Danio rerio: one gene and its partners. The protein of the gene in region 1 purifies or fractionates together with the protein of each later gene. This does not show direct contact. Links are inferred from orthologs where the notes say so. Each region holds a gene or a part of one and is shown on either strand. Other genes may lie near its edges. The genes, in order: aar2, zgc:103692, prpf6, ttc27, ptges3a, snrnp200 and eftud2.

Region 1 (3,820 bases):
TTGTGACAGAAATAACACACACGGCTTTCTGATGCTATCTACCAAGTGCATTTAAGTTACAGAGAAATGCGAAGGATTTTTTTTTTTCATTCACCGTGCAGTAACAAACACTGCATTAAAAATAAACGCTTCCAGCAGTTCCTCAAATCACATATCTCATTTGTCAAAATGTTCTTGAATGAAAGAGCCAAATTGCAGTTAAAATCCACCATTTAATAATTTGATTACTGATCTCCATGTAAACAGTCACTGTCTTTGTCTCTTGCGTCTGTGTTTGTTTTGCCTCTGTGAAAATCAGTGCATGCCCAAAACGAAACTCCCATTTTTATGCAAATTTTTATGCACCTTCCCTCTTTCCCTCCTCCGACACTCCCCCTAAACAGAGCTGGACATGCCCACTTTCTTGACTTTTTTCAAACTAGAGGTGTGAAAACACCCTGCTGAATCAGGAGGGTTTCATGGCCCTTTAAGCATGAAATCGTGTTTTGAATTGAAATGTTCACAGCTTAAATAAAGAACTGTGTTCAATTTCAAAACCTAAAATTACAAATCCTGGAAATTCAAGTCACTAAAATGCAAGCAGTTGTTAATTCACTGTATTTTTTTCAGTTAGTGCTATTCGAAAAGCTTTTTATTTCAATACTTTTGGCATTGATTTTGTTCCATATAAATAGCTCATAAAAACCAAATTGAAAAACTGTTTCAGAAGAGGAATCAAGTTCTTTTTTTTTGTTCTGTGACTGATCATTGGTGAATCGTGCACAATAACCTATCAAGAAAGCATATTAATAAATATGACTTTAAGTTGACTTTAGTATAACCTGAAAAACTGATCCTATTCTACTTTTGTCAATTATTTAAGCTCAGAGAACTGTGTGAATAATACCTGAAGTGTGGAGGTGAGGAAGTTGCTTTGAGACACGATGTCCACGAAGAAGTCTGGAGGGATTTCTCCTAGCTGATGGTAGAGGACAGCAATGAGGCCAAGATAAAGCTCCTTCCTGTCCTTCATGGCCTCCTCAGAGCGGCACAGCAGAGCCAGCAGGCTTTTCCAGTGCTCGAAGGCCTCGTAGACGTTTCCAACCAGGAAGCAGACGAACGCAAACTGCAGCTCTCCTACAAGAGTGACACAAATCTTTTATTATTTAGCTTTTTACTACAGTAATTAACAACTGAATTTAATAACTTAATGAATGTGTGTAAAGCTGGTCTCAATAGGTGTGTTAAAATGCAAAGTGTTGATAAAAAAAACAACAACTATGAAACGATGCATCTGAATTAAACATTTTTGCAATTCAAGTTGTTCTCACAGAAAGTCACTTAAAAATCATGGTGACTGATATTAGATTGATTCATATCACAATAAACGCACCATTATTTTCCACTGATAGACTATACAAGCTTTATTGCCAAGGCAAGACACCTGCAGCATATACGGTTTAAACATGGCATGATGCATTATTAAAATTATGCATTATTAGGCCAAATTAATTAAGAATATATAGACTGATTTTGTACCTCATTAATAAAATAATGATAGCAATAAATCCAACAATATGGATGTGTAAATAGCCCTGCCACTCTGATGAGTGAAGATAATCACAGCAAAAAAAGAATTTATTTTAGAGCAGTAATCACAATACTGTGATATTATATCCAAGGTTATCATACCATCAGAATCTTAAACTGATATTTGGATAGTACTCTTATACTGATATTTGTATAGTAGTCTTATACCGATATTTAGATAATAGTCTTATACCAATAGTAGTCTTTTACCAATATTTGTATAGTAGTCTTATACCGATATTTAGATAGTAGTCTTATACCAATAGTAGTCTTTTACCAATATTTGTATAGTAGTCTTATACCGATATTTAGATAGTAGTCTTATACCGATATTTAGATAGTAGTCTTATACCAATAGTAGTCTTTTACCAATATTTGGATAGCAGTCTTATACCAATATTTGGGTAGTAGTCTTATACCGATATTTGGATAGTAGTCTTATACCAATATTTAGATAGTAGCCTTATTCCGATATTTGGATAGTAGTCTTATACCAATATTTAGATAGTAGCCTTATTCCGATATTTAGATAGTAGTCTTATACCAATATTTAGATAGTAGTCTTAAACCGATATTTGGATAGTAGTCTTATACCAATATTTAGATAGTAGTCTTAAACTGATATTTGGATAGTAGTCTTATACCGATATTTAGATAGTAGTCTTACACCGATATTTGGATAGTAGTCTTATACCGATATTTAGATAGTAATCTCATACCGATATTTGGACAGTAGTCTTATACCGATATTTAGATAGTCGTCTTATACTAATATTTGGATAGTAGTCTTATGCCGATATTTGGATAGTAGCCTTATACCGATATTTAGATAGTAGTCTTAAACCGATATTTGGATAGTAGTCTTATACTGATATTTGGATAGTAGTCTTATACCGATATTTGGATAGTAGTCTTATACCGATATTTGGATAGTAGTCTAATACTGATATTTGGATAGTAGTCTTATACCGATATTTGGATAGTAGTCTTATACTGATATTTGGATAGTAGTCTTACACTGATATTTGGATAGTAGTCTTATACTGATATTTGGATAGTAGTCTTACACTGATATTTGGATAGTAGTCTTATACCGATATTTGGATAGTAGTCTTATACTGATATTTGGATAGTAGTCTTACACTGATATTTGGATAGTAGTCTTATACCGATATTTGGATAGTAGTCTTATACCGATATTTTGATAATAGTCTTATACTGATATTTGGATAGTAGTCTTACACTGATATTTGGATAGTAGTCTTATACCGATATTTGGATAGTAGTCTTATACCGATATTTGGATAGTAGTCTTATACTGATATTTGAATAGTAAACTAATCCTCACCAAGTACATTGAGTGGCTGCTCTTTATAATGTCTCTCCAGTACCGCGTTGAGAATGTAACTGCGGTCCATGCTGTACTGGGTGATCTGAGCGGGTGTTGCCCCAGGAGGATATGCCTGCTTGGGGATGCTGGAAAACCGCAGCTCTGTGCCTTCCCTCTGCTTCATCCGCGGCAGCCGGTCCAGGCCCTCCTTCATACTCTGGCACTCCTGATCATTGCGGGACAGGTTCTGCTGGACCCGATCTTTAGTGTGAGTCAGCTGCAGCTCCGGGATGACATCGCTGAAAGCGCACACGCGTCCGCTGAGGGGCTGCAGGGCCACGGCCACCTCCTGACTGAGTCTGTCAGTGAGAGAAACCCACTTGCGGAGGGTATCATAGGGGTACGGCCCTAAATACCGGTCCAGCTCTTTCAGATTGCCCCGTACGCGCTCCACCTCCTCCGAGTTCTGAGAGATCTCCAAATCATCTGCGCTCTTGTTCCAGTGCGCTACAAGCACCTGCCGAGGCTTCAGGGACAGGAACAGGCCAGTTTTGGGGCTGATTTCCCCACAGCCTCCATTGGTGCTGACGGAGCAGTAGTGGAGGAAGTGAAGCCCCGGGGGAATCATCTTCACCCCGCGGAAACGAGGACCCAAAGTCCATGTTTTGTAGTCGAGTCCCAGTTCGGTTCCCTCAGGAACTCCAAGCAAAACCAGCGTGGCGCCTTCTTCAAACAACCCTCGGGCCACTTCAGGGTCCATGTCTGTTCCCGCCATATCTGCAGAAAATAAATAGATTGAGGTAGGGTTGCGCAATTTGGGGAAAATATCTAATTGCAATTTTTTTGACAGACATTGTGATTGCGATTTGATTTACGATTTAATTCAAGCTTCAAGCTGATTTTATTTAATAATAATAATAA
Region 2 (4,638 bases), on another chromosome or scaffold:
ATGACCTTTCGATTTTAGCTTGAGACCTCAAAACAAAACCTTTAGAGAAAAGGTAATATGCTGTTAGTGTAACAGAGGTTACAGTATTTCATTATCAAATCCTGTAGAATAACCGTTTAATAAGAATAAAGTTTCATACATATGCAGTGATTGAGCATTTATGTGGAACTGTTCTACAATCATTATATAATTATGAAATTGAACAATGCGCTAAATTTATGCAACTAAAAGTTTTTCTGTTATAAAATATTTTCAAAAAACTACCAACAATTTGGGTGAAGTTTTATTGTAAAAAGCTTATCGTAAGTTACAGATATTTAGCAGAGACATTTTTTTAAATATAGTACAAAGTATTTACATCTTTCAGTTTACAGAAAGGAAAAACAAACTCCATCATGGTAACTGAATTATTAGTGAAGGATTAATATCGTCGGTTCATTTTCTTAAATTTCTCATAGTGGTAGTCATCTGTGGCCTTCTCGTTATTGGGTCTCTTGCGGAAATTGGGTGGTGAGGCTGGAGACCGAAAAAAATACACCAAATCATATGAACATGAATACATTAAAAACAGCAGGGCATAAAAGCTGAAGAGGTTTTCAATCTGATCTTACCCTCAGGTGCTGGTTTCTCTGTGTCTCCTACACGCAATGGCCTGGCTTTAGGCTCTTCTCTGTTGCGTCTTTGGGGCGCGTTTGAATCCTCATGGTAGACTTGACAAAATAGAACAGATGATGACTTAATCTTTCTTCTTTGGGATAGCAAATGTTTTAAATATGGTTCACATTTTACTGTTTACTTATTTGTTAGGCATAGACAGAGCTGTTGATAAAAGCTTACACTTGAAAACAGATATGGTTAGTGAACAATTTTGAGAAATCAATCATTGGCCTTTTCTTTGTACAGTTTTGTTACAAAATGTATTTTAAGTAAATGCTCTGCTTTTGAAATTTACATTAATTTCCGTTTTTTTTAATATTGAAAGATAAATGTGTAAATTAGGCACCAAATCATCGTATTAGAAAGAATTGTGAAGAACTGGACTAATGTTTGCTGAACAATTCAGCTTTACAATGAACAATTTACAACATTTTTTTATAATCTTAAAAACCTGATTATGAAAAAAAGAAAATGAGTGCAATTACAGACTGCAAAAATATTTCACAAGATTACATTTTTAAAGGGATACTTCTACTCAAAAGTTTTTTAATTCTGCCATCATTTAAATCAGCCTTCACTTGTTCAAAACCAAAACACAAAGAAGCCATTGACGATGATGGATTCCAGCAATCAGTTTTCTTCAAAACATCTTCTTTTGGGTTCAACAAAAGAAAGAAACTAATAACTGTTTAAAACCACATGAAGGAGAACAAATGAAAAAAAATGAACTATCCCTTAAATGTGAGCATAAGAGACTTAAAAACATCTTACTGACAAACGTTTGAACAAACAGTTGTTTGTGTGTACACTTACAGCGATTATGCTGGACGTAATTGACCGCAATGTTTGTGGGAACAAAGGAGGTCCCGCTGTCTTTCTTCTTATTCCTCTGCTCAGCTAGCAGCTTTGCTTTGGCTTCTTCTGTGTTGATGATATTCTTTATCTTTGCGCTGAGAAGAAAGAGAGAAAAGAGGCTTTTAGGTTGACATCAATCATTTGTTTGTTCTGAGCCACCAGTCTAGAGAAAACAATAACTGATGTCCATGAATTAGCTTGTGTCTTTACTCACTCAATCCCCAGATCCACCTCTGGAATTCCGCTCAGCATCTGATTGGACAACATCTCTTCTGTCTTTTTGGCAGAGCTGACGTTGATGTTCTCTGGAAGCTCATACAGGAGGTCCTCTGGATTCTTCACCTTTACCTTCTGCTCCTCTGCCTCCACCATGCCTTTCTTTTTCTTTAACTCTGTCTCAATGTACTTCATCCTGCGTGAAATGAGATGCATGATGGGAGAGGCTTTAAACATAGTGACAAAACCAGCAATGCAGAGAGTATGTGATGTAGAAGCATGCACTTACATGTCAGCATCTTCATCTCTTCTGTTTGTCTCGGCAGAAAAGGATGTACCAAGATTGAGGTCATTTTCATCCACTGTCCTGTAACAAAAGAGGAAGTGTCAAGATGCAAATATAGAGACATCTTGAAATGAAAAGCTAACATGTTTACTTAATTCTTACATGTCTCTGCTTCTGTCTTTCACTTTCTTCATGTCAACAACACCTCCAGTCTTCAGTTTAAATGGGTCATCCTATGACATAAACATGGAGGGACAAAATGTCAAACCTCTATTAGCTCATAGAGAAGAACAAAGTTACACTGCAAGGCTTGTATTGTAGTGCAAAATGTAGTTTGATTAAAATAATAAAACACCTCAAGCTCAGCCTCTAAAGGAAGCTTCTCTCCAACAAGTAACGTTGCAATGCTGGACAAACAGAATGGAAAATAGCATTTATTATTCTCACTTTAATTACACAATGAAAAGAAAGAAAAATGTAAACACCACCAACAGTAACAACCACAAAGCAGCTCATGACCAACCTCACTCCATGCTGCCTTTTTCGCAGACTCTGTAGCTCCTTGGCTTCATCCAGTTTTGACCTGGGTAAACATATAATAAAAGTAACATCTTTAAATAGTTTTTCACATTCAATAGGTTTCTGTCCTCTCTGAATGCATGTACAAACTAAACAAGTCAGCTGCATTAATCTTTTCTGCTCGTTTTACCAAGCGGTTTACAACAGCTGTGTTTACTTTGTTTGGCCTGAATGTGTTGAATATATCTACCTGACTACGAATTTTGTTTCATCATCTTCCTCGTCGGATGAATCCTCTTTCCTTCTTCTAAAATTTTTACCTGGTGGCATGACTTGTTTTTAAAACTCGTCGAATTATTTACTGATAAGCGTTACGTTACCCCTCGTCCGTCTGTACGCAACGGTGGCGGTCTATGTTTAGTGACGGACCTCATTCTCTAGAAACTTCCGCTCGCTGGCATCACATTTGTCGTCTTAACAGTTGATCTCAGATCAGCTTGCCTGTTTTTTGTACAGCCGTTGAACGGCGAAAAGCGGAATGATGAGACTGGTTCTAGATCAGCTGCTTCTATGACACGATACAGAAAAACAAAACAAAAACGGCGTAAATTTAATAATAAACACTCTATACGATAAATGAACGTGTAAAACAAGCAGTATGTGTATTTTATAATCGAAGTAAATAAAAAATTATTTGATCATGCTAAAGAACGAAATGCGCTCATTGGCTGTGGTCAAAGCCGTGACGCACGCTTCTGCTGTATTCAGTATGGATGCTGCTTAGTAGTAACGTTACACTGCTTCCCACCACTGTTACAAACACCTCCGATTGGCCTAAAATGACTATCTATGAGCGATATTTTTGTTTCTGTATGACAGGTAAATATCTGTTTCTGTCTTTCCTTTTGCTAAATCGGACTGTCACTGTTGTTTGATATGATAACATCATGTCGACTCAGCGTATGAATAGTGTCTTGCAGACCGAGTGGAAATATGGCCTGTTTATTCTGCAAGATCGTGATGTTAAACAGCTTTTAGGTGGTTCACCGTGACGTATTTGAGGACTGCTGTGTGTTTATGAACATAATAAACACCGAAGACGAAGAGGAAAAACTATTTGTTTTGTTTTAGATATTATGTTTTAATTCAGATGAATTGTTTGCATTACATTCATATTAACGCGATTGTTTTCTGCGTCGTTTCGGACTTCAGTTGAAGTTAGTTTTCTAGTGAAAATTTGATTCATAGAATCATGTTTTTTTATATCAATTATTGTATATTTCCCTTGCTGTAATGGAGGTGTTGGTACGGGACGAATGTTTTTTTTTCCCATCAACTGACTAGGCGAATGAAACAGCAATTTTGGCCTCTTAACAGTTCTAGGCAGAAACATAACACACATTGAGCAGATATGCTAGATAGATACCATCCTCAATACTCTATAAATATTTTTAAATTTTTATACTTATAAAAAAAATATTATATAATATGGTATATATTTCCGTTAATATCTATTCAATGAGGGCAGATTTTTATTTATAATTCTCACTGGTAATGAGAGTGTAAGGTTCTTATGGGGACAGTTTATCAAATAATTTTGTCATCATTTCATATTAATGAAAGTTTATGGTTTCTGACTTTTTGATTTTTGTTAATTTTGGAGAAAGATTTTTAAAAATCAATGTTATTTACTGTATTGGTGCTGCGCAGTCTCAGAGCTGTACCAGACATTCTTAAAGGGTTTGTTTACCCCAGAAATAAAATAAAAAGAAAGGATTATTATTCAACCTCATGTTGTTCCAAACTCCACAAGACCTTTATTCATTTTCAGAATACAAAGTAAGATATTTTAGATCAGGGCTGCACAATATATTGCTTCAGCATCGATATCATGATCAGTATTACACAATAGTCACATAGCAGGATCTATGCTATGTTGAGTTTGTTTTTGATGCCTGTGATTGTATAATGATTTTAAAAGCATTCAGGTATAAGAAATTGTACAACTTGTGACCTTAACTACTTTAGTTTTTATCATTCAGTTACTGCACTTAAATATTTTTAGACTCAAAAAACGATAAAATACTTTATTTCAATTGTATCTT
Region 3 (4,614 bases), about 2.9 Mb from region 1:
TGCTGATGAGTCGATGCCAATGCTGAAACCACATATTGACATAATGAACATGTATATTTACAATGTGGGCATTTCAGCAAATAGTGAATAATGATTCATTATTATTAAGCGTTTGAATGCTGTTACATATTAAATATTCAGATTGCTGCTGTCACAGGCAACTTTTGTAAAAAATCCAACTACTTCCTGATTATTGATGTTCCCAAGGCGTTAACAAAAGTTTATAAAACCCTAAAAATTGATCCCAAAAATAAAAATTCTGTCATCATTTACTGATTCTCCACTTGTTCCAAATCTGAGTTTCTTTTTTCTGTTCAAGTTATTCTGAAGAATGCTGGAAAAAAGCAGCAATAGGGTATATGCCGAGCTAGTGCTGTTCCCATGCTGATACACTTCCGGTGACCTGTTATTGTGAACTTTTTTCCATTTTATACGGTTCCTTATACAGCATCGATGTTGCAATGTCATTAAAATACATTCAGTTAAATAAACTTTAGCATTTATTTAGTTGCTCAAGCGTAAAACGAGACAAAAAGCTGTTTACTCGCACGCGCCCGTCAGAATCGGCAGGCTAGGGGAGAAGCTACATTGAATATACTGGGGTAAAATAAATGCTCATATTATAAACATATGACGGGGGAAATGTAATTTAATGAAGTGCTTCTTGTACAATCTGAGACCCACTTTAAATCGGATATCACTCAGCTAGTGGAGATCTCTGATTTTTAAAGAAAACAAACCTTAAACGCACCGGATTTTGCATTGACATTCAATTCGCCGTAAGCGCTTAACCCAGTTTACTGGCAAATTAAAAGTCCTATTAACATGCTTCGGCATATACTCTATTGACTTCCATAGTATTTTTGATTCAACTATGGATATCAATAGCTCCTGATTTCCAAATTATTCAATGTATCTTGTTTTGTGTCAACAGAAGTAATTCATAAACGGTTAGAACCACTTGATTGAGAGGAAATTTACATTTTTGGGTGAACTGAGGATTGAAACATTTGATGTACTCCAAACATTGATATAGATTGAAGCTAGGAAATTAGAAACTGTAGACTCATTTTTGTTATTACGCTATTACAGAAAACTTCCCCACAACACCTTCATGATACTGTAAATCACACTAATGGCTATTGGGGTAAAGTTGGTTTTATATTCACACATTCACTCATTTTTGTACAGTGACAATTTGTGACGAAGCCCCAATATGGTTTACTGCTACTTTGAATATTCAGTCTGAAATCACATGCAAACAACAGTAGTACTATTTATTATTTTCTTATTATATTATGCTACTTGGTTTGTGTAGTCATGCAAACATTTGTTTGTTGAGCAAGTAGTTTGGCCATTTTCTGCCGTTTATTATTCCTAGTCATTTCTCCCATAGGCGACTGAATCGGAAGTTCTAAGACAATCGCAAAAACAGGCGCACTTTCGCATCTTAGAATAAGGTCAATTGACTGTGAACAATGTTCTACTTTTTAAATAGCCATTGGCTGCTAATATGATCCCCTTAATTAGAATGTGCAAAGAATACACTACTGAACTTATATTAAGAAGGGAAAAGTGTGAATTTGTGAATATAAAACCAAAATTGTACCTACATACAAAATTGTGCGCCTACATAGGACTAAACTTTAAATTATTGAGGTAAAATTGGTTTTAGATCCATACATTCGGAATTTGTCTTTAACATAATTTCAGAAAAGTATTCTTTGCAAATACTAAACAGTAAGATCATATTAGCAGTCAATAACTATCAAAGTACAACATTGCTCATGGTCAAACAAACAGTGCTAATGCTGTTTTGAAGTCATACTTACATATGATTTTAGACCCAATATTCAATGTACCATGGTAAAAAATACAGGGAGCATGTCACAAGTATGGAGGTAAAGTTGGATTTATATTCGCACATTTGTTCATTTAGCAGTCTCTATATTGTTTACAATGTTACTTTGAATATTGGATCGGAATTAGCATGCAAGTATGACTTGTAAACAACATTAGCACTATCTAACTGTAAACAATACTGTACTTTAATAGTCATTTGCTGCTAATATGATTTCACTATTTAGAATTTGCAAAACATACTTTTCTGACATTGTATTATTAAGGAGAATGTCTCAATATCCCAATATAAAACTAACTTTACCTCTATGTCACAAGTCGCCTCGGAACAATTTCAGTGTGAATATAAAATCAATTTGATCTCAATCTATATATTTTACAGTATATCTAATGTTATGAAACAATGACTGTAAACTAAAACAATATTTTATATTAATGTTTTGCTGCATTATTATTATAGCATAAAATTATCAGTGTAGTGACAAGTTTATTATAATGTATTATTATAATGTATTTGTACATTATATTTGTATTATTATAATGTATTAAATTATTATAATGAAACATTATAATGTGTGAAAAAATAACACAATTACGTCAAAATACGTCAAAAAATATCAAGACAGAACACATTATATTAAGTTACGTTACACACAAGCTAAAATTATGGCAGCCTCAACACATCAGCTAGACATGATAATGTTTACAAATTTATATAGATGTCGGAATGTCAGGTAAGTTAATGCTAATATAAATAATAACACGTGTTGTGTTGTTTTGCCGCCTGTATATATTGAATGTATGGATCTCACCCTCTGCCCAGACCGGGTACGTAACCCAGCGGTGCAGGCATGCCGAGAAACGGCTTCTTTTTCTTGTTCAAGCCTCCCATGAGCGGAGAAGCGAGCGGCATTGCCGCTGCTCCCGCCGCAGCCCCGCCGGCCCCTCCGGACGGGGCTTTGCTTGCATTTTTGGGGGGTTGTTTCGCTGCGGAGCTCGCCATCGATGCGTTGACGACAACACGCTCCACTTCCGGAACAACACTGTCGCGTTTCCTGCAACATAAAAGTCTTCTTTTGGAACCTGTCGATGCCAAAAACAGCGCCCTCACAGGATTGGCAGAGTGAAGTAGCTTAACCTAAATTTACCTTTTATTTATTTATTTTTTAAATTATTATATACAAAAATGAGGAATACAATGTTTACATGTTTTTTACATCAAAGGAACAACTCAGTAGAGAAAAAAAATAATAAAAAATAAAATTACAGGGGATATAGAAATTACAAAAAAATTGTATAAGAAAAGGATTTCAAAATTGCATACATTCTTATAGCTTTTTTATATTTTTTGTGTCTTTTAGGGTTTCTATTTAAATTTAATTTAATTTTAAACAAATGAATATTAGGCTTATCATTGGACCATTTTTGTTTGTGTACATGGTACTTCACATACTGCATATTATCATTAAATTAATAAACAATTTTTGCTCCAAAGTTTTGTTATTATTGTTGAAAATCTAAAAAATATCTTGACAAGAAAACTGAATTTTTAATTTTGAGTTTAAATATAAGATATTCAACACCAAACCAGAACATTTTCTGTCATTAAATACAACTACACACAACAACGGAAAAAAAGTTTTAATGCTGGAAAATAACCAAAGATATATTGACAAATGTACAGAGGAAGCAAAATATATAATTAGAAATAGCTGGAATGAGGCAAATGTAACTAATAATTGTGGTAATAATTAAGTTTAACATTAAAATAGCTATAAGGAAAGGAAAAGAAATGGCAAAGAGAAAAAGAAGAAAAAATTATAAGTGAAATTATAAGCCTCTCTGGAAATTACCTTTTCTTTTCTTTGTGCTTACTGTTGGGGTTGAATTACGTGACATGAAAGGGGAAAATAAGACAAATTGTGAGTGAACCGCAGTCTTTCTTTCTCTTTCATTTTAAAGGGATAAGTTAGTTCACTGATATACTTTCTTAACCTCAAGTGGTTCCAAATTTTAGGAGTTTACTTTTTTCTGTTGAACACACACACACACACACACACACACACACACAAATATATTTCAAACAATGTTAAAAACTGAAATCAGGGGTTTCTTGATTTACAGCATTTAAAATTACATTTCTGTGTTCAACAGAAGAGGGTGATGCGGTGGCGGACTAGGTAGTGCTGTCGCACCACAGCAAAAAGGTCGCTAGTTCAAGCCTCGGCTTGGTCAGTTGGCATTTCTGTGTGGAGTTTGCATGTTCTCCCCGTGTTTGCTCCGGGTGCATCCGCTGCGTAAAACAAATGCTGTATGAGATGGCGGTTCATTCTGCTGTGGCAATTCCAGATTAATAAAGGGACTAAGCCAAAAAGAACATTAATGAATCAATGTTCAACAGAAGACACTTGTGACTACTAAATTTAAGTTGTTTGTTTAAATTGGTTCGACAGCAAGGTTGCTGTTTCAAGCCATGGCTGGGTCAGTTGGTATTTCTCTGTGTGGAGTTTGCATGTTCTCCCGTTCGCGTTTCTGTGGGTGCTCTGGTTTCCCCCACACTCCAAAGACATGGGGTATTGGTAAATTGAATAAGTATGTGTATATGTGTGAATGCAAGAGTGTATGGGTTTTTTCTAATACTGGAAGGGCATCTGCTGCGTAAAACATATGCTGGATAAGTTGGAGACTCCTGATTAATAAAGGGACTAAGTCGGAAAAAAAGAATTAAATTAATGTTTAAATTCAGCCCGTATA
Region 4 (4,368 bases), on another chromosome or scaffold:
GATGGATAATGCATGAAATTAGAAGCAAGGTAACAACATCCTTCAATAATGACTAATAGGGCAATTCACACTAAGATGCATTCTGGCGTTTCATTTTAACTGCATGTTGGCCAATATGTCACATCTCAAACTATCAGTGTCATGGATTGTAGACTACACATGTAATCAAAAGTAGTAGCCTAATCTAAATACATTTTATGAGCCAACAACCTCAGACCATCAATGATATGGTTGCTGACCTTGGATAATTCAAGTCAAGCTTTAACAATGATGATCATTTCAGTAAGCAAGTCAAATAAAGTAAACATCCCGAATGATTATTAACTGGTTAATAGTGTTGCAGTTTCAACCAAATCATACAGTGCGTTCAGGAATCAGACTGTCATGCTCAATGTTTGGGCTCAACATAAATTAACAGATTCAAAAGAGTCCATTAAAGAGTTCAGATGCAAAAACCTTTAAGCACCGTCTGAAATTTTAATCAAAAATGAACATTTTTCTCAGCTTTCTTTGTTTATGTTAAGATATTTCATTTTAAAAATCAGGAAAATTACATATTCTTTGCCATAAAAGTGGTATTACTAAACATACACACAAGAGCCTAATAAAAATGCTCATTGGGTTTTTGCATCTAAATGCTTCATTTGTTAAGGAACTGCACTGTAAAATGATCTCTTAATACTCTTGAAATGTTCAGTACAAAAACTACATTGCCTGCCTGAATTTGATCAATTCAGAGTCAAGCTTTAACAATGATGAACATTTCAGTAAGTGAGTCAAATAAAGTAACGGTAGGTTTTGTGCATCAACCATATTTGTAGTTTTATTTACACTTTTGAACCACGTTTGTAGTTTTAATCCAATTCCTATCTAACATGCAATGTATTGTGGGCAATATTAGCAATTAAGAGTATGGACTCTTCTACACTTAAAATTGTAACCGAAAATAGTAAACTATCTGGGAAACTTTGGCATACTCTTTTCAACCTACTATGGTTTGAGACATACTAATTCTATTTTCAAATACTACTCAGGATAGATAGTATGCGCATTGAATCACTAGAAGGATCAGCTATTAATTAGGAAAGAACAATACATTAAATTGAAATCGCAACTGTAATTGAGCAAAATATTAAGATTAAGCTGAAATAACTTGTTCGGAAACTGTAATAGGCCCATTGAAAATTTGCATAAGTCAATTTAAAAAAATTATCTTTTAATACTATTGAAATATTCAGTAATAAAACTATTACCTGCCTGAATTTTATTCCATTAAAAAAAAATCCACTCAGAAGAGTCATTTATTAAGGTACCAGACTACTTCAATAAAAGAATCCACTCCAAATCATTTATGAATTTCCATAATAAATCTGAACTCAAACGTCAAAATTACACTTAACCTCCAAATTTACTAAAAGAATCACTTTTTAATACAGAATTGTTGTACTAAATATATTCGACTTCGCTACATTTAGATTCGCTTAAAAAATGACTAAAACGGTTAATTGAATAGAAATCCAAAAAAACTATTTAATTGATTTGCTTCACAAAAAAAGATCCCTTTGTTCATAAAGCACACTACCTTAGTGAATCAGAAAACATTATAAACATTTTATTTCCATGTGTTATAATGAACCAAATAAAAGATTCATTTGCCCTGAACGGATCAAGTGCTTGCTTGATTTACAAAAAAGAATCGACTCTTAAGACTCTTCTGTTCAGGAATCGAACTAGGAATGTCAAATTGAATTGTATGTTTCCGAGGATTTTAGTAATTTAAAATTAACTCGTTATGCTTTCGGAATCGAGCTACACGAGCGATCGGTTCTGATTTTATAAACAGACTGGACTGACATTACAGTCCAGTGCTCCAGACTTGAACTTGATTTTGCTGAATGTTTCGCGCTGTGGAATCTGTAGCTGTAAGAGAAGAGCAAGAACCGCTGTCCGACTATTTAATACGGTTTTCCGTCCCATATCCGCATTAGGCTTTAGCAACCGGTAAATGACTATTTTAATTTTGTAAATCATGACACTATTTATGTTCGGTATAAATTAATAATGATAACAATAAATAATAATAGTAATAAATAACAATCATCTCACGGTGTGTTGCGCTCCTTCACCGTTGTCATAAACGCATCCTGAGTGAACGCCCACTAGAAATAACACAGTCGGGTGTTTACATGCAGGTGCAGCCCAGCTTTGTTCTAAAACAGTAGACTAAATTTTCTCTCACCTCAACATGAACAGAATAGATAAACACGCGTCTGTCTGTCTGTCCTCATGATGTCCGATGCCCACACTGACCCTCCATACGGTCAGTTATCAAACACAGAAGTTCTGCTGTCAAATCGCGCCCGGTTAGTTCACGGTCAGCGGAAACTCACATCTGTCTGTCTTTCGGTCTGTCTGGACACAGTCCCGATTTCAACACACATGCGGCACATCTACACCACGTGAGAGACAGACTGCACGCGCAACACTCATCATCCACAACAAGAACCGAGCAGATTCAAGCCCTGAAATCCTCCACAGCTGCACGACAGCATCAACATCTGTCATAACCGCCGCGTTCAACTGAAAGTCGGCCGATTTCCCAAACTCAGGGCTCTCATGCCGTTGTCTCTCACCTGCGGTGCTGAAGCTGCTCTGTTTCCAGTCCAGACTCAATCCGCCCAGAACCGCCGCCTCGAGCTGCAGCATCGCGCTCCTTGTGTGCCCGGTTCCGCGGAGAATGAAACAGCGTCGCGTCGCTCAGGACCTGCTCTCTGTGTGAGTGTGAGACTCGTGTTGAGGTTCGTGTGTTCACTGTAATGTGTTAGATTTCTGCCCATGTGCCGCAAGTGTCATCAGTGAGCAGCCATGACAGCGACGAGGTGCATTATGGGATACTTAATAAGCCAGCGCTAAGGGAGCGTCGAGATTTGACCAGACGCGCAAATGAGCGCAACGTAAATTCACTGTTGATAAACAGCTTATTGTAAAAGCAGATTATCTATCTTCAGTTTTATCGTCTTTTCTTTTTTCTTACTTCTATTAGGTTAATGAATGTGATAACAATAAAGCGTTGTTCTTGAACAAGTCACCGACGTGTCGGCCACATCAAACAATATGCTAATGTCAAATAAAAAATAAATAATAAATAATATATTCATTCATTCATTTTCTTCTCGTCTTAGTTCCTTATTAATCTGGGGTCGCCACAGCGGAATGAACCGCCACATGTTTTACACAGCAGATGCCCTTCCAGCCGCAACCCAACACTGGGAAACACCCACACACTCTTGCACACACTCACATACACTATGGCCAATTTAGCTTAGCCAATTCAGCTATATGTCTTTGGACTGCGGGGGAAACTGAAGCACCCGGTGGAAATCCATGCCAACACAGAAGAACATGCCAACTCCACACAGAAACGCCAACTGACCCAGCCGGGGCTCAAATCAGCGACCTTCTTGCTGTGAGACGATTGTGTTACCCATTGCGACACCGTGTTGCCCTACAATAATATAATATAGTCTAAATTATGGAACTAATTACAAACATAATAGGAAACATAAAAGTATATGACAGTGTGTAAAATAATTTGTAGTTGAATTTGAATATTAATTAGCACAGCTACATCTCTTACTCACCTTCAGGTTAGTCCCTGATTTATCAGGGGTTGCCATAGTGGAATGAACCACCAATTACTCTGGCAAATGTTTAATGAGGAGGATGCCTTTCCAGCTAGAAGCCAGCAGTGAGAGAAAGCTATTAAAGCTATATCCGGAACCCACAGTGCTGGAAAAAACCCAGCAATTTATTTTTTTCCACCGCCAATTATGAACTTCCAGTGAAAGCTTTATGTGAGTGTTTTCAATTTCAAAAGGTTCCTTTTATAGCATCAATGTTGTAAATTAGTTCAAATATAATCAGTTAAATAGACTCAAGCATTCATTTAGTTGTTAAAGCATAAAAAGAGACGAAAAACTGTTTAAACACAGGCGCTGTCATCAGCAGCAGGCTAGCACAGAAACTCCAATGAAAATACTGGGGTAAAATTAATTTTCATATTTTAAAGACATGACGCGGAAAAATATATATAATTGAAAGTAGTGCTTCTTGTTTGGTCTGAGACCCACTTTATATCATATCTCAGCCAGGCAGTGAAGAAAATACAGATTTCTCTCTTTTGAAGAAATCATATCTTAAACACAACTATTTTGAATGGGATGACAATTAACCGAAAGCCCTGAGGCTGGCTGACTGAAAGTCTGTGTGCATATACCCCATTCACCTATATCGATTTGCATGTCTTTGGACTGTAGGGGAAACTGGAGCACCCAGAGGAAACCTACGCAAACATCACACAGATATGCC
Region 5 (4,543 bases), about 26 Mb from region 1:
CTATTTATTAGACAGACAGACAGACAGACAGACAGACAGACAGACAGACAGACAGATAGATAGATAGATAGATAGATAGATAGATAGATAGATAGATAGATAGATAGATATTAATAATAATATATTAATAATTATAATAATAAAAATAGCACATTCATCCATCTATATACCTTAACTGTTAAAAATCCGCAGACAACAACCAAAAATTATAAGTTTTTATAAATATTATTATTATTATTAGTAGTAGTAGTATTAATAATAATAATAATAATGTTGATTGTTGTTGTTTTGTTTATAGCAATAATTATTGTCATTATGGCATTGCTATTATTGTAAATAATGTGTCATGGTTATTTTATTATTATTATTAATATTATTATTATTATTAATAATAATAATAATTATTATTATTATAATAATCATCATCATCATAATGATAATAATTCATTCATTCATTCATTCATTCATTCATTTTCTTTTCGGCTCAGTCCCTTTATTAATCTGGGGTCGCCACAGTGGAATGAACCGTCAACTTATCCAGCTTATGTTTTAAGCAGTGGATGCCCTTCCAGCTGCAACCCATCACTGGGAAACATCCATACACTCCCATTCACACACATACACTACAGACAGTTTTAGCTTACTCAGCCAAGATCACATGTCTATGGACATGTGGGGGAAACTGAGGCTCCCGGAGGAAACCCATGCGAATACAGGGAGAACATGCAAACTCCACATACTCCACTGACCCAGCCGTGGCTTGAACCAGCAACCTTTTTGCTGTGAGGCGATTGTGCTGCCCACTGTACCACCATGCTGCCAATAATAATAATAATAATAATAAATAATAATAAATAATAATGATAAATTATTATTACTATTATTATTAATATTACAAATTTTTCATAATTTGTTGTTTTATTATTACAATTATTATTATTATCATCACTATTAATATAACAAATGTCTACTAAAGTATTAATATTATTGGTATCATTTGTATTATTACCTTATTTCGTTTGTTATCTGCAGTTCTTTAAGTGTTGCCTTTATCAGACTGACAGATATTTGTATTTATTTATTAATATTTAATTAAATGCTTTTTATAAAATACATGTGAATGCACATGCACTTCATTCATTTCGCCTAGTGTAGTACGCCTGAGGATCCTGACAAAACAATTTCATTCTGACTCAAGAAAAAGTATGACGTATGATTTGTGTGGCCCTGCATCAGTGGACGTCCTGTACTGTACTGTCAAGGCGGAGCGAGCAGGGGAGCGAGCACTGCGTTACTATGGAGACGTGTTTGCTTAGGGAACGCGCATGGCTGGGGGCGCGCAGCAGAAGTCGCTAGAAACGTTGAGCTGATGCGTCACTGCGCGCCAGTGTGTAGAGACACGCGCACTCCTTGTGCAGGTTGACAGCGGCGCATAAACAGCTATAGCTTCCGTCTGTATGCCTTCACTGTGATCTGACAGCACAAATCCAAAACACTACCCCAGGCGAGAGGACGCGAGAGGAGACGCAGATTTGGGTGAACACTGAAAGGAGAATTCGACATGTGAGTCTGACCGGCAGTCATAGGGATGCACTAACTTTAGCTAGTTAGCAAATGTGTGCATAACCTTTATCAGCGAAACACCAGATTCTCTCTCATACGCCAACTATCATGTATGAACATTTAGGACAATACGAATCTTCCTCGTGAAGAAGCTTAGAATTTGTGTAGAAAAACGTCTAGTGGTAATTGGTGGTGGAAATAGCACACATTGTCCCCACAGCAGAGCTTAGCTAGCTGGTTAGCAGCTAGATAGTTAGGCCTGGGGTTACTGCAAGCTACTATGGCATGATTCTATTCTGTTCATCTATTCATGCTTCATATGCATTATTGTAGAATGTACAAGCAATATATGTGTCATATAAATCAACCTTTTACAGATCAAGGCTTGCAGGCTGGGTGTTCCCTATTGGAAAAGAACATGCTTAAGTCATGTTTGCTGTTTGAACGGGTTTAAGAAGGTATTAATGCCAGTTTATGCTGGTCTTCCATGCTGGAGATCAGTTGGGTGGCTATTTGGCCAACTGAAGGGGTTTAGTTTGTCATCCCAGCTTTACACGACAGGTTTGTGAGATGGTTTTGAGTACTTTCCTTCAGGTCATGCTGGTTAACAGTCTACAGGCTAAACCAGCAGAGCAAGGCTGAAAGGTTTTCAGCTGCGATCAATGATACACCATCTTTTTAAATGCATGTATGGACATGATAAATGCTAAAATTAAAAAATATGAACCAAATCTCCTTTATAAATAATATAGTAATATAATAATAAATGTTCAGCATCTTGTGGTTTCTGAATGATCACGTAAAACACTGAACCCTGGAGTAATGATGCTGAAAATTAATCTTAGAAGGGATAGTTCACGCAAACATTTTCATTTACTCACCCTTTAATTGTTTCAGACATTTGAGTTCCTTCTGTTAGACACAAAAGATTTTTTAAAGAAAGCTGGAAACCTGTAACCATTGACTTCTTGTGCTTTTTTTCCTACAATGGAGGTTAATAATTATAGTTCTTTAAAACATCTTTTGTGTTTAACAAAAGAAAAATACTTAAAGGTTTAACCACATAAGGGAGAGAAAATGGTGCGAATTCTAAATATTTGGGTGAATTATTCCAAGAATCAAAGTTATAAAGTTACTTTTTAAAGCCTTAAAATTAAAAAGTTACTTAGAATGACTGTTTTATTGTATCCTATACAGGGTATCCACAAGGTCTTAAAAAGTCTTAAATCTCAAAAATTTTAATTTAGGCCTCAAATAGTCCCAAATCAACTGAAATATTGTGTTGTATGTCTTAAATCTTTTTTAACATTCTTAATTTTCCTCTGTTCATGTATAGCTTCCCAATCTGGCCATTAACACTCATACAATCACCAACAATCTCAACAAAACTTTTCATTTAGAAATTGCATTTTGAACTAATTTACCATCATTGTTTAATTACTTTCCTTACAGTAATTGTTTTTAAAAAGTTCGCCCATTTATTTACTGCTGAGGATACTGACCACCTGACCTATATTTGTTATTATTAAATTATTATTATTATTGTATTATTAAATGTATTAAATTCTAATTATTTTTGAGAGGGCAAGTGAAAAAATTTTCCAACTGGGATATTCGAAAAAAAAAAATCCTTAGCATTTAGCTTTAAGTCTAAAATTTCCTTCATGATAAAAAGGTCTTTAAAAGTCTTACATTTAACCTAATGAAACCTACAGAAACCCTGCTTATAACTACAGCAATAAAAATAAACTCCAGATTTAAATAGGAGTTATTGTGCAGCCCTTTATTACAGAGGCCTGGTTTTGCTATAATTGTATTACATGGGTTAAGCCTTAGGTAGATTGTTAAGAAGCCATGCATGATCCTGCCAATTGATACAAATAGGTTGCCACGGTAACGTCATTGTTGCTCCACCCCCGCCAGGACCTCCTGCCCGCACATGTTAATTTAGAGCTGCACTTTTAGTGTGGAGTTTGACTTTTAACAAATGCACTTAGCTGGTTGCTCAGTTCCTCATGGATTCCATTAGAATTAAGTGATATTGTGTTTTTGAATGTCATATTAAAGTGGAGTTAGACTGAAGCCTTTTCTAAAACATTGCTTTTCATTTTTTGTTTTGCAGGCAGCCAGCTACTGCCAAGTGGTATGACAGACGGGAAGCTGTCTTCATCGAGTTTTGTATAGAAGACAGCAAAGATGTCCAAGTTAAATTTGACAAAACAAAGCTTGATTTCAGGTACATCCTTGTTTTAAGTTGTTAATAGTAGGCCTGAGTGATTTTGGAAACATTTTACATTGCATTTTTTTCTCTGCGATGTATATTGCGATATAAATTCAATTTCACCAGATGACAGTTATAGCTCTATCTGCAAAATCTTTAGTTTAGTGTGATTGGGATGATTGTGTAGGGGTGTGAAATATAAATATATATTTTAAATGTAATTTATTATATACATATAATAAACAAACTACATTCATATATCAACACAATGGTGCAAAAATGAAAGTAAATTAAACCATGTTTTCTGGAGAGAATCTAACAGTATTCAGGTACAGAAATTAAATAAATGTAAAATGTCAAATGTAAAATAACATTGCATAGTCTTCATTATACAAGTAATTTAATAAAAATAACCTTTATTAAACTTCTTTATGCACAACTAAAATGCTTTAAACGTAAAATGCTCACATAGTCTTTTTGGGTTGCAGCTGGAAGGGCATCCGCTGCGTAAAAACGTGCTGGATAAGTTGGCGGTTCATTCAGCTGTGGCGACCTCAGATTAATAAAGGGACTAAGCCGAAAAGAAAATGAATGAATGAATGCTCACATAGTCACAGGCCTTAAAAACACATGCAGATGATAAACTTTCACTCTATTATGATTAAATTAAGCAGTGTCTAAACATATCTTTGTTTTGAAATGTGGTTTCTGGTCATCTATAATCCTAACTCAACATTGCATATCTTGCGATGTGACTAT
Region 6 (3,673 bases), on another chromosome or scaffold:
CTGTCATTTACTAATCCTCATGTCATGCCGAAATGCCGATGATTTTTTTTTGTCTCTGGGGAAAAATCCTGTGGATTCACTACGCATGTGTTTCAGTAAAATTGTAATATTTGTTTCATTTTATAAAGGTCTTTATTTATTTGTTGTGACTGAAAAATCAAGGTTATTCCAAGTTAAAACATGGGTATTGTGGAAAATAAGAACACTGTGATTTTAAATTTGGATTTGGAAAGAAATGGCATCACATTTTTTACGATAACTTTACTAAACAAAAAATGACTAATGCAGAGAGACAAAATGTAAAAGCGCTCTCATTTTATATCTGTCCACTGGAAATAAGGTTAGAAAAGTTATGGAATAACATGAGGAAAAATAAAAGTCAATCTTTTTTCATGATGCAGTTCTTTTTACCGATAATGTACTTGAATTTGTTTTGTTAACTTTTTAATAAAACATCATTGCGACAACTCTCCAATGTACATCTTTATTCAAATCACAATGAACTTAACAGTCACGTTATTCCTCCAAAAATATTTATAAAAAAAAAAAGTTAATGGGCTCAAACCGTCCGTCTACTGTGGGCTTAATCACTGTCACTGTCTCCTTCACTGTCAGCCTCCTTCACTTCTGTGCTGAACTTGTACTCCTGATCGCAGCCCATGTAAGCGTCGCTCATGAAGTACAGGGTGTAGTTGTGCACACCGACCACAGGAGCCACAAAGTCCAGCTTCACCTGTGGAGAGAGAGAGAGCACGCTGTAGTTGAAGAAAGTTTTAAATGGTACATTTAGAAAGTCTAAAATAACGTGTGAGAATGTATATTCTGCTGCTTTTGGATAGAGGAGCAGGACTGACCTTGGCCTTCTGCTGCAGAGTTAACCTCTTGATTGAGATCAAACTGTTTGATTTGGGGTCACCGATTACAACCCACCAGCCTTCTTCACGTTTCTGCACAAACGGACAAGATATTATTTAACTCATGTTCATTGGGCAACACTTTACAATAAGGTTGTGTTAATTAATGCATTTATTAACATGAACAAATACTGTTATAAGTGCAATGTTCATTGTTTGTTAACGAAAAAATGGTTGTTTATTTTTAGTTCATGTTAACTCATGATGCATTAACTAATGTTAATAAGCATGAGTTTGGATGTTGATAATGCATTAGTAAATGTTAAACTATGATTATTAAATGCTGTATTGTTCATAATTATTTCAATATCCCGACAGACACTGACCTGAGGGAAGAGAGGGGCGATGACGGGGCCTGTGACCTCCTCTTCTCTCTCCAGCTGCACCTGCACCACTACTGGACTCCCACTGCAAACACAAGAACACTCATTCACACCTCCAGCTGATTATGGAAAAAATTCTGTGTTTCGTACAACCACACTATATTAAGCATCTTCAAAAGAAAGAGTTTGCACCTCTTGATGTCGTCTTTGTCAACCACTTCATACGAGAGCTCAATGTTGGGGTATCGGTTACAGAAACGAGCCACATCTGCCACCTGGACATCCGAGAGCTGAAGGAGTCCAGTGCGATCCTCATCCTCCATCTCCATGATATCAAAGATACTCTCCACACCCTACAGACACACACACACATCAACAAAACATAGACAGTCACACAAAACCATACCGCCAAACCACCAGGGGTGGCGCTTTGCTCTTAAATGTGACTCTTCTGTGCTTTCATCTTATTTAGGCATGCAAACACTGAAATAAATATAAAAACAGCGGGATTCCCTTTTCTTTTCATTACAGGGGCCATCGCTTCTATGCACCCTCAAAACATTCATATAGCAGTGTGTGACTGTCAACTGACATGCTTCCTAGTGAAAAAGAGACATTGTTTCGCAAACAGATTCTGTACACGCGGTTTGAAACGGGGCAAAAGTCTGGGTTTTGAGTGCGTGTTTGAACAGATATATACACATAATAATAATAATAACATCCAATAATGTCGATGATGGCGGGGTTTTCTTTTCAATTACAATTCATTTAGTCCTAAATGAGCATATAAAGCAAGTAATCGAATGCTTTTATTTTAATGTTAGATGTGTGCATTTTTTACAGTGACACCTGTTAATTGATGTAATCAAACAAAAAATCTAAATAAATGAGATTCATTCAGTGTTCTTTTATCAGAATGAGTAAGTTATACAGTCAACAAAAGATTGAGATTTTATAACTTGATTTTATTTATTTATAACAGCTATTAATTTTAATAAGATGTTTGTTAATTTATTTGCTGTTAATGCAAACTATTTATTTATTTTGTAAATAATAATAATAAAATATACCAATTTAAATGTTAATTTACATTAAAACAGCAACAGATGAACATATTTATTTATTTAGGGACTTTAAGGAGAGGGGGTATCCCTTATTATTGTTATCCCTTATTTTCACATCCCAATGTTGACAGGTATGGTTCTACACAAGTTCTTCATGTTGTCCCAACTCAAATCGATTACGGTAATCGTTTTTACAAATTTAAGTGGATTAAACATGAAACGATTCATTTTAAATAAGTAATCTGAACAAGCAGAAAAAGTCATTTTTGAGTGTATCTTGTTTAGTGTTAAAAAGAAAAAAAAAATTCAGAACCACATGAGGGTGAGTAAATGACACAGACTTTTAGATTTTTTTGGGTGAATTATCTCTTTAAAGAGTCTACCTTGTCTGTGCAGCGCTTGATGAGTTCAGAGGTGAAGTGTGGCAGCTGTCTGAGGTACGAGTCTTTGGACCACATGGCTTGCGTGACCATCTGTGCCAACTCCATAGCAGCCAGTGCTGGACTCAACCAGCCGTTACTGGAGAGCACGTCCACACACGCCTGGATCAGACGCACCGCCTGAAGACAAACACCAGAACTTTAGAAACACTGAATATATGAACGTCAACATAACAAAAAAAAAGGAATGATGTTTGAGATGATGTGCGGGGGGAAGATGACTGTGTTTGAGATGAAGAGCAGCTAGAAGGCTTCTGCGGTCGGAAGTTAACACATTTATTTATATTACAAATATACAATTACTGATTTTACATTACTTAAAGTGGTCTGCAAAAGCACTTCTCTAGTGCCATATTTGATTGCCAAACGTAATTTATATTGTGCATACAGACCTCTTATGTGCACCCTGACTGTATGCCTAATTTAAAAATAAAACTATATGGCATCTTTTGTCTGATAAAAATAAAGATTTCTGGTCAAATGTTTGAAATAAACAAAAATCTTTAGTTTTTTTTTTAAGATGTCTAATATGTTCTACATTTTTTTTTGTTTCTTCATTTTCTGTTACTGATGTGAAAATAGTGGTATACTTTCAAAGGTTTGGGGCAAGAATTTTTTTAATGAATTTTTCTTTTTAGCATCGCTGCATTAAACCGATGAAAAGTGACAGCACAGATATTTATTATGTTACCGAAAGTTATTACTGAAACTTCAAATTAATTTTGTTGTTTTGAACTTCCTATTCAAAGATAAGCAGCAGTCATGTTTGTTTATCATTGATAAAAATAACATTATCCCTATTATGACAGAGCAACAACAACAATAAATGAGCAGCAAATATCCTTTCTGAAGGATTCTGTGACACTAGTGCAATGCTGGTATATTAAATCATGCAACACTGAAGCGTCATGGCTGCTGTAAATTGCAGTGTT
Region 7 (3,861 bases), on another chromosome or scaffold:
ATAGTGTTTTGATTGATACTTGCACGTGTATTTTAAATTAGCCAAAGAAAGTACTGCAATAATGTTTAACAGGACTCCTCATTTAACAACTCTTCAAAAAATCCTAATTTTTAAAGTTTATTTCTAGACTCAAATGTCTAAATATTATATAATTTGTGGAATACTTAAAAAATGTCTTTAAATCTAGATATTCCAAGCTATAAAACAGTTTATTGGACAGAAATTGATAATGATGACTATTTCCTTTTTCAGTAAATGGAGTCAGATATATTCCAAGCAAACAGACTAAATTAGTGTGAGTTTCACCTGGCGACAGAAATCCACAGGCGTCCCACAGTGCAGATCTGAGAATCCTCCTCGTCCTCCAGACTGTAGTTTTCTCCCAGAACCTTCACGGGCTGACCTGCCTGCAGGGTTCCACTTAGGACCCGACCAAACGCGTGGAACTGAACGCCGTCATCTGTGCTGTACATCTTAGTGGTGTGGCACATCAGTGGACCCTTCGACAAGAAAGCAAACATTTTACATGGCAAAATTCAGTGATTGGATAATTCACCCGGAGAGACAAAGAAATCATTTAACATTAGTTAGAATTTATAGTTTTACACACTGTCTCTCCCAGTTTTGCACAGCATTCAAATAATCAGTTATGCATTCATTTTCTTCTTGGTTAGTCTCTTATTTTTTAGAAGTTGCCACAGCGGAATGAACCGCCAATTATTACAGCATATGTTTTACGCAGTGGATGCATGATCAGTTATTTAACAAGTCAAATAATCAGAATAATCAGTTATAAACAGTTATTTATTAATATTCACCCGTAAGAACTACAGTGGCATCCACAATACAAAAACTTTTTTACATTTACATTTAAATTTACATTTATTTGTGCCAATTTCTTTTAAAATATACACCTCTCAAATTTTTTTATTTTTTTTAAGTAACATTTTAAGTGAAAAAGGAAACTGATTTATCATTACACTGACCAAAACTCCATTTAAAAAAATTGCTGTTTTGGAGCTTTCTATTCATCAAAGTATCCTGAAATAAATGCATCATGGTCGACTGAAATAAAATTAAAACGGTATTCAAGATTGATATAAAATATTTCTTAAGCACCAATAAACTGGATTAATGATGACTGCTAAAACGTTTTAGAAAAAAATCTATTTTATTATTTTTATTACTATTTTATATTAATATTTCACAATACTACAGATTCTTAAAGGGTTAGCGGAGTCAAATTAAAGACTATTTAAAGGGGTGGTCCACTACGATATTATATTTTAAACTTCAGTTGATGTGTAATGTAGCTGTGTGAACATAAACAGCATCTCTAAATGTAAAATATTCAAAGTTTAATGCAAAGGGAGACCTTGATTTGTACAGAGTTAGCTTAGCAACGCCTACAATTAACGAATTTTGGGGACTACAAAAAATACTTCCGCCCCCTGTGAGATCACAAAAGTTCGTTATTGCGCATCCCACACTGCGCAGGTAAAGGCCGTGGCCAGAGGCGCTGTAACGTTACTGCAGAGGGAGAAATGCCATCCTGCTGTTTCCACATAGCTGTTCTGTTTCTGTTGTTGGGCTTCCAAATGACACGACCCAAACACAGAAGTGCTTACAGTTCAATATTAATTATGTTCCAGAGAACTATAAAATACATAGCAAGCATGATTTGACAAAACACAGCTTCCAGAATCTCTCCCAGTTCAGTGCTGGATTCAGTTAAAATCTCCTCAAAGATGGAGCAAGGAGACGCTGTGAACTCTGAGTCATGACCTGTAAGTGTTTTTATTTGTTAAAATTGATCATGACATGTACAGTGTCTAACTTTAACGGTGTGTTGTAGCAAAGATGTAAACAACGGGAAATTATGGTAACCGCTAACGACTTAGCTAACGTTACAAATCTATATTTATCAAACGGCTGTAAACGCACACACACACATACACATACACGCTCTCTTGGCCAGCACCTGCGTCTCTCTGTGGGAGACGGCAGAGTTTCTCTCTATAGGCAGCTATGCTATGCGTTTTACAACTCGGACAATAAAGTCGCAAAAGATATGTGAACGATTCATGTTACTTACACAGGCATATTCCGCATATGCATGAAAGACGTTCTGTAACGCGTTGATTTAAAAAAAATACAGCAATGATTTCCCAACTGGAGTGTAACATCAAAAACAAATCAATCCAGGCTCACAAAGGTCTCATCTCACATCTTGTGCTTTATTCTGTCACCACAGAAAATAACTTAATCCGAGCATGAGAGAAAAAGAACAATAAAAATCTCTCCCGCGCACATGCGCTTCTCGTGTTACAGATACTTCATCGTATACACGCATAAACACACTAAAAGGCACAGAAACAGTTAAAGGAGCCGCATCCCATTTTCACTCGTTACAGACACGTGTTGACTGACTGACTGACTGACTGTTTACACAAAAACGCGCGTGCTTGTCAGGGCGTGACGTGGAGCCGATCGGCGAATCACAGCATATTATGATGATGACCAATCAGAGTCACTTGAGGGTGGGCCTTTTAGAGAAACTAGGAAATATGACAGTCGTTTTCATGTTAGCTGAGTAGCTGTGTATAATCAAAGTGAGATTTATGAAAAAATAACACGATTTCCTTCAAGTTAAACATGAGCACACATTGCTTTGCATCTTATTAACACAACCAAGCCTTAAAAATAACATTCTGGACCACCCCTTTAAGACCATTATGAAATAAACTTCAGACTTATGCTAAGACAAACATTAAAGATTGTTTCTATTTTTTCCCCAATCATAAAAATGAGTCTAATTAGTAAATTGTTAAATTGTTTTTATTTTAAACAATGTCAAAACAAGCAAACCCCAGTTGTATACATACATTTCCTTCAAAGGCTGCATTTATACTGCACATATTGATGGTCGATAAATTTGTGACTGTATCACTTTTTTTTGTTAAACAGCTTACATCATCTTTTACAAGTGACTCGTATCTGATTGTCTGCATTTACACAGCACATGGTGAAGGCGCAATGAACTGGGGAAAAAAAAAGAACGCTCTTTACTCCGTTCCTGTAGTTAATCTGTTGACAGGACTTTTTAATATTGTTAAATTCTTTTTGACAAGTTCTTTTACTATCGTTTATGACAAAAAAGTTCTCATTTGGCCATCTTCGTTTAATCTAGGTCTTTTTAAACCAGTAGGCATCTTAATGTAATGTCTTGCATGAGATGTATACCACAGTTTTATATTAGTTTATATTGGTTACGTGGCAGATATTGCACTCGCTCACTTTCTCTCATTAACATACTTAAATTCTTGTGCTACAAAACAATATAAAAGCTTTTTTAGTACTCGTGTATGAGATTTAAGGTTTGCGACTGCTGAAGTCTGTTCTGAAAGAAAAGTGTCAGACTTGACGTAATACGTTATGGTTTTTAATGACGGGCGACTCGCATTGACAGTTGAAACTCCGATCTACCTGTTTACACAGCAGACATGAAGGCACGGATAAATTTTCCACATATGAACAAGGCCTGAATCTGATTCAAGTAAATTGGAATCCATGTGATTTTTTCCTGCTTACACATACGTGGACCATATCCCATCTGCGCCACATGGGAGGAAAAAAAAAATCCAGACTGAGTCACTTGAACTGTGCAGTGTAACTACAGCCAAAATAACGTAACTACTAAAACTATAATAAACTAAATGTATGCATAACAGTCTGACAAAAATCTTACCCTATTTATTTATGATCTATAAATACAATGACAACTTTTAAACAAATTGTATTTTTGTAAGGAAAATAATTAAACCAAACTGGTTATAAAACTATTACATTAACTATTATAAT

The links.
Region 2: the proteins of aar2 (region 1) and zgc:103692 purify together in Homo sapiens (affinity purification with mass spectrometry; 3 studies listed by BioGRID and IntAct, with this or other methods). This does not show direct contact. The link is inferred for Danio rerio from reciprocal best matches to the Homo sapiens genes AAR2 and C9orf78.
Region 3: the proteins of aar2 (region 1) and prpf6 purify together in Homo sapiens (affinity purification with mass spectrometry; 3 studies listed by BioGRID and IntAct, with this or other methods). This does not show direct contact. The link is inferred for Danio rerio from reciprocal best matches to the Homo sapiens genes AAR2 and PRPF6.
Region 4: the proteins of aar2 (region 1) and ttc27 purify together in Homo sapiens (affinity purification with mass spectrometry; 3 studies listed by BioGRID and IntAct, with this or other methods). This does not show direct contact. The link is inferred for Danio rerio from reciprocal best matches to the Homo sapiens genes AAR2 and TTC27.
Region 5: the proteins of aar2 (region 1) and ptges3a purify together in Homo sapiens (affinity purification with mass spectrometry; 3 studies listed by BioGRID and IntAct, with this or other methods). This does not show direct contact. The link is inferred for Danio rerio from reciprocal best matches to the Homo sapiens genes AAR2 and PTGES3.
Region 6: the proteins of aar2 (region 1) and snrnp200 purify together in Homo sapiens (affinity purification with mass spectrometry; 5 studies listed by BioGRID and IntAct, counting the BioPlex papers as one, with this or other methods). This does not show direct contact. The link is inferred for Danio rerio from reciprocal best matches to the Homo sapiens genes AAR2 and SNRNP200.
Region 7: the proteins of aar2 (region 1) and eftud2 purify together in Homo sapiens (affinity purification with mass spectrometry; 5 studies listed by BioGRID and IntAct, counting the BioPlex papers as one, with this or other methods). This does not show direct contact. The link is inferred for Danio rerio from reciprocal best matches to the Homo sapiens genes AAR2 and EFTUD2.

What each region holds. Positions count from the first base shown.
Region 1 is NC_133198.1:4,218,131-4,221,950, forward strand, and holds part of aar2 (protein AAR2 homolog), read right to left. Parts: intron 3,677-3,820; 5' UTR 3,675-3,676; coding exon 2,918-3,674; intron 1,117-2,917; coding exon 887-1,116; intron 1-886. UniProt on the Homo sapiens protein: Component of the U5 snRNP complex that is required for spliceosome assembly and for pre-mRNA splicing.
Region 2 is NC_133180.1:33,916,864-33,921,501, forward strand, and holds zgc:103692 (telomere length and silencing protein 1 homolog), read right to left. Parts: upstream 2,949-4,638; 5' UTR 2,864-2,948; coding exon 2,784-2,863; intron 2,598-2,783; coding exon 2,538-2,597; intron 2,422-2,537; coding exon 2,370-2,421; intron 2,248-2,369; coding exon 2,177-2,247; intron 2,096-2,176; coding exon 2,018-2,095; intron 1,925-2,017; coding exon 1,727-1,924; intron 1,608-1,726; coding exon 1,471-1,607; intron 711-1,470; coding exon 612-710; intron 517-611; coding exon 422-516; 3' UTR 271-421; downstream 1-270. UniProt on the Homo sapiens protein: Plays a role in pre-mRNA splicing by promoting usage of the upstream 3'-splice site at alternative NAGNAG splice sites; these are sites featuring alternative acceptor motifs separated by only a few nucleotides. May also modulate exon inclusion events.
Region 3 is NC_133198.1:7,086,776-7,091,389, forward strand, and holds the start of prpf6 (pre-mRNA-processing factor 6), read right to left. Parts: upstream 2,913-4,614; 5' UTR 2,864-2,912; coding exon 2,673-2,863; intron 1-2,672. UniProt on the Homo sapiens protein: Involved in pre-mRNA splicing as component of the U4/U6-U5 tri-snRNP complex, one of the building blocks of the spliceosome.
Region 4 is NC_133192.1:24,118,541-24,122,908, reverse strand, and holds the start of ttc27 (tetratricopeptide repeat protein 27), read right to left. Parts: upstream 2,874-4,368; 5' UTR 2,707-2,873; coding exon of another isoform or gene 2,634-2,706; 5' UTR 2,240-2,633; intron 1-2,239.
Region 5 is NC_133198.1:29,970,497-29,975,039, forward strand, and holds the start of ptges3a (prostaglandin E synthase 3), read left to right. Parts: upstream 1-1,391; 5' UTR 1,392-1,561; coding exon 1,562-1,563; intron 1,564-3,685; coding exon 3,686-3,799; intron 3,800-4,543. UniProt on the Homo sapiens protein: Cytosolic prostaglandin synthase that catalyzes the oxidoreduction of prostaglandin endoperoxide H2 (PGH2) to prostaglandin E2 (PGE2).
Region 6 is NC_133183.1:33,096,922-33,100,594, forward strand, and holds the end of snrnp200 (U5 small nuclear ribonucleoprotein 200 kDa helicase), read right to left. Parts: intron 2,862-3,673; coding exon 2,685-2,861; intron 1,591-2,684; coding exon 1,430-1,590; intron 1,323-1,429; coding exon 1,241-1,322; intron 948-1,240; coding exon 855-947; intron 734-854; coding exon 584-733; downstream 1-583. UniProt on the Homo sapiens protein: Catalyzes the ATP-dependent unwinding of U4/U6 RNA duplices, an essential step in the assembly of a catalytically active spliceosome. Plays a role in pre-mRNA splicing as a core component of precatalytic, catalytic and postcatalytic spliceosomal complexes.
Region 7 is NC_133178.1:15,073,060-15,076,920, forward strand, and holds part of eftud2 (116 kDa U5 small nuclear ribonucleoprotein component), read right to left. Parts: intron 501-3,861; coding exon 307-500; intron 1-306. UniProt on the Homo sapiens protein: Required for pre-mRNA splicing as component of the spliceosome, including pre-catalytic, catalytic and post-catalytic spliceosomal complexes. Component of the U5 snRNP and the U4/U6-U5 tri-snRNP complex, a building block of the spliceosome.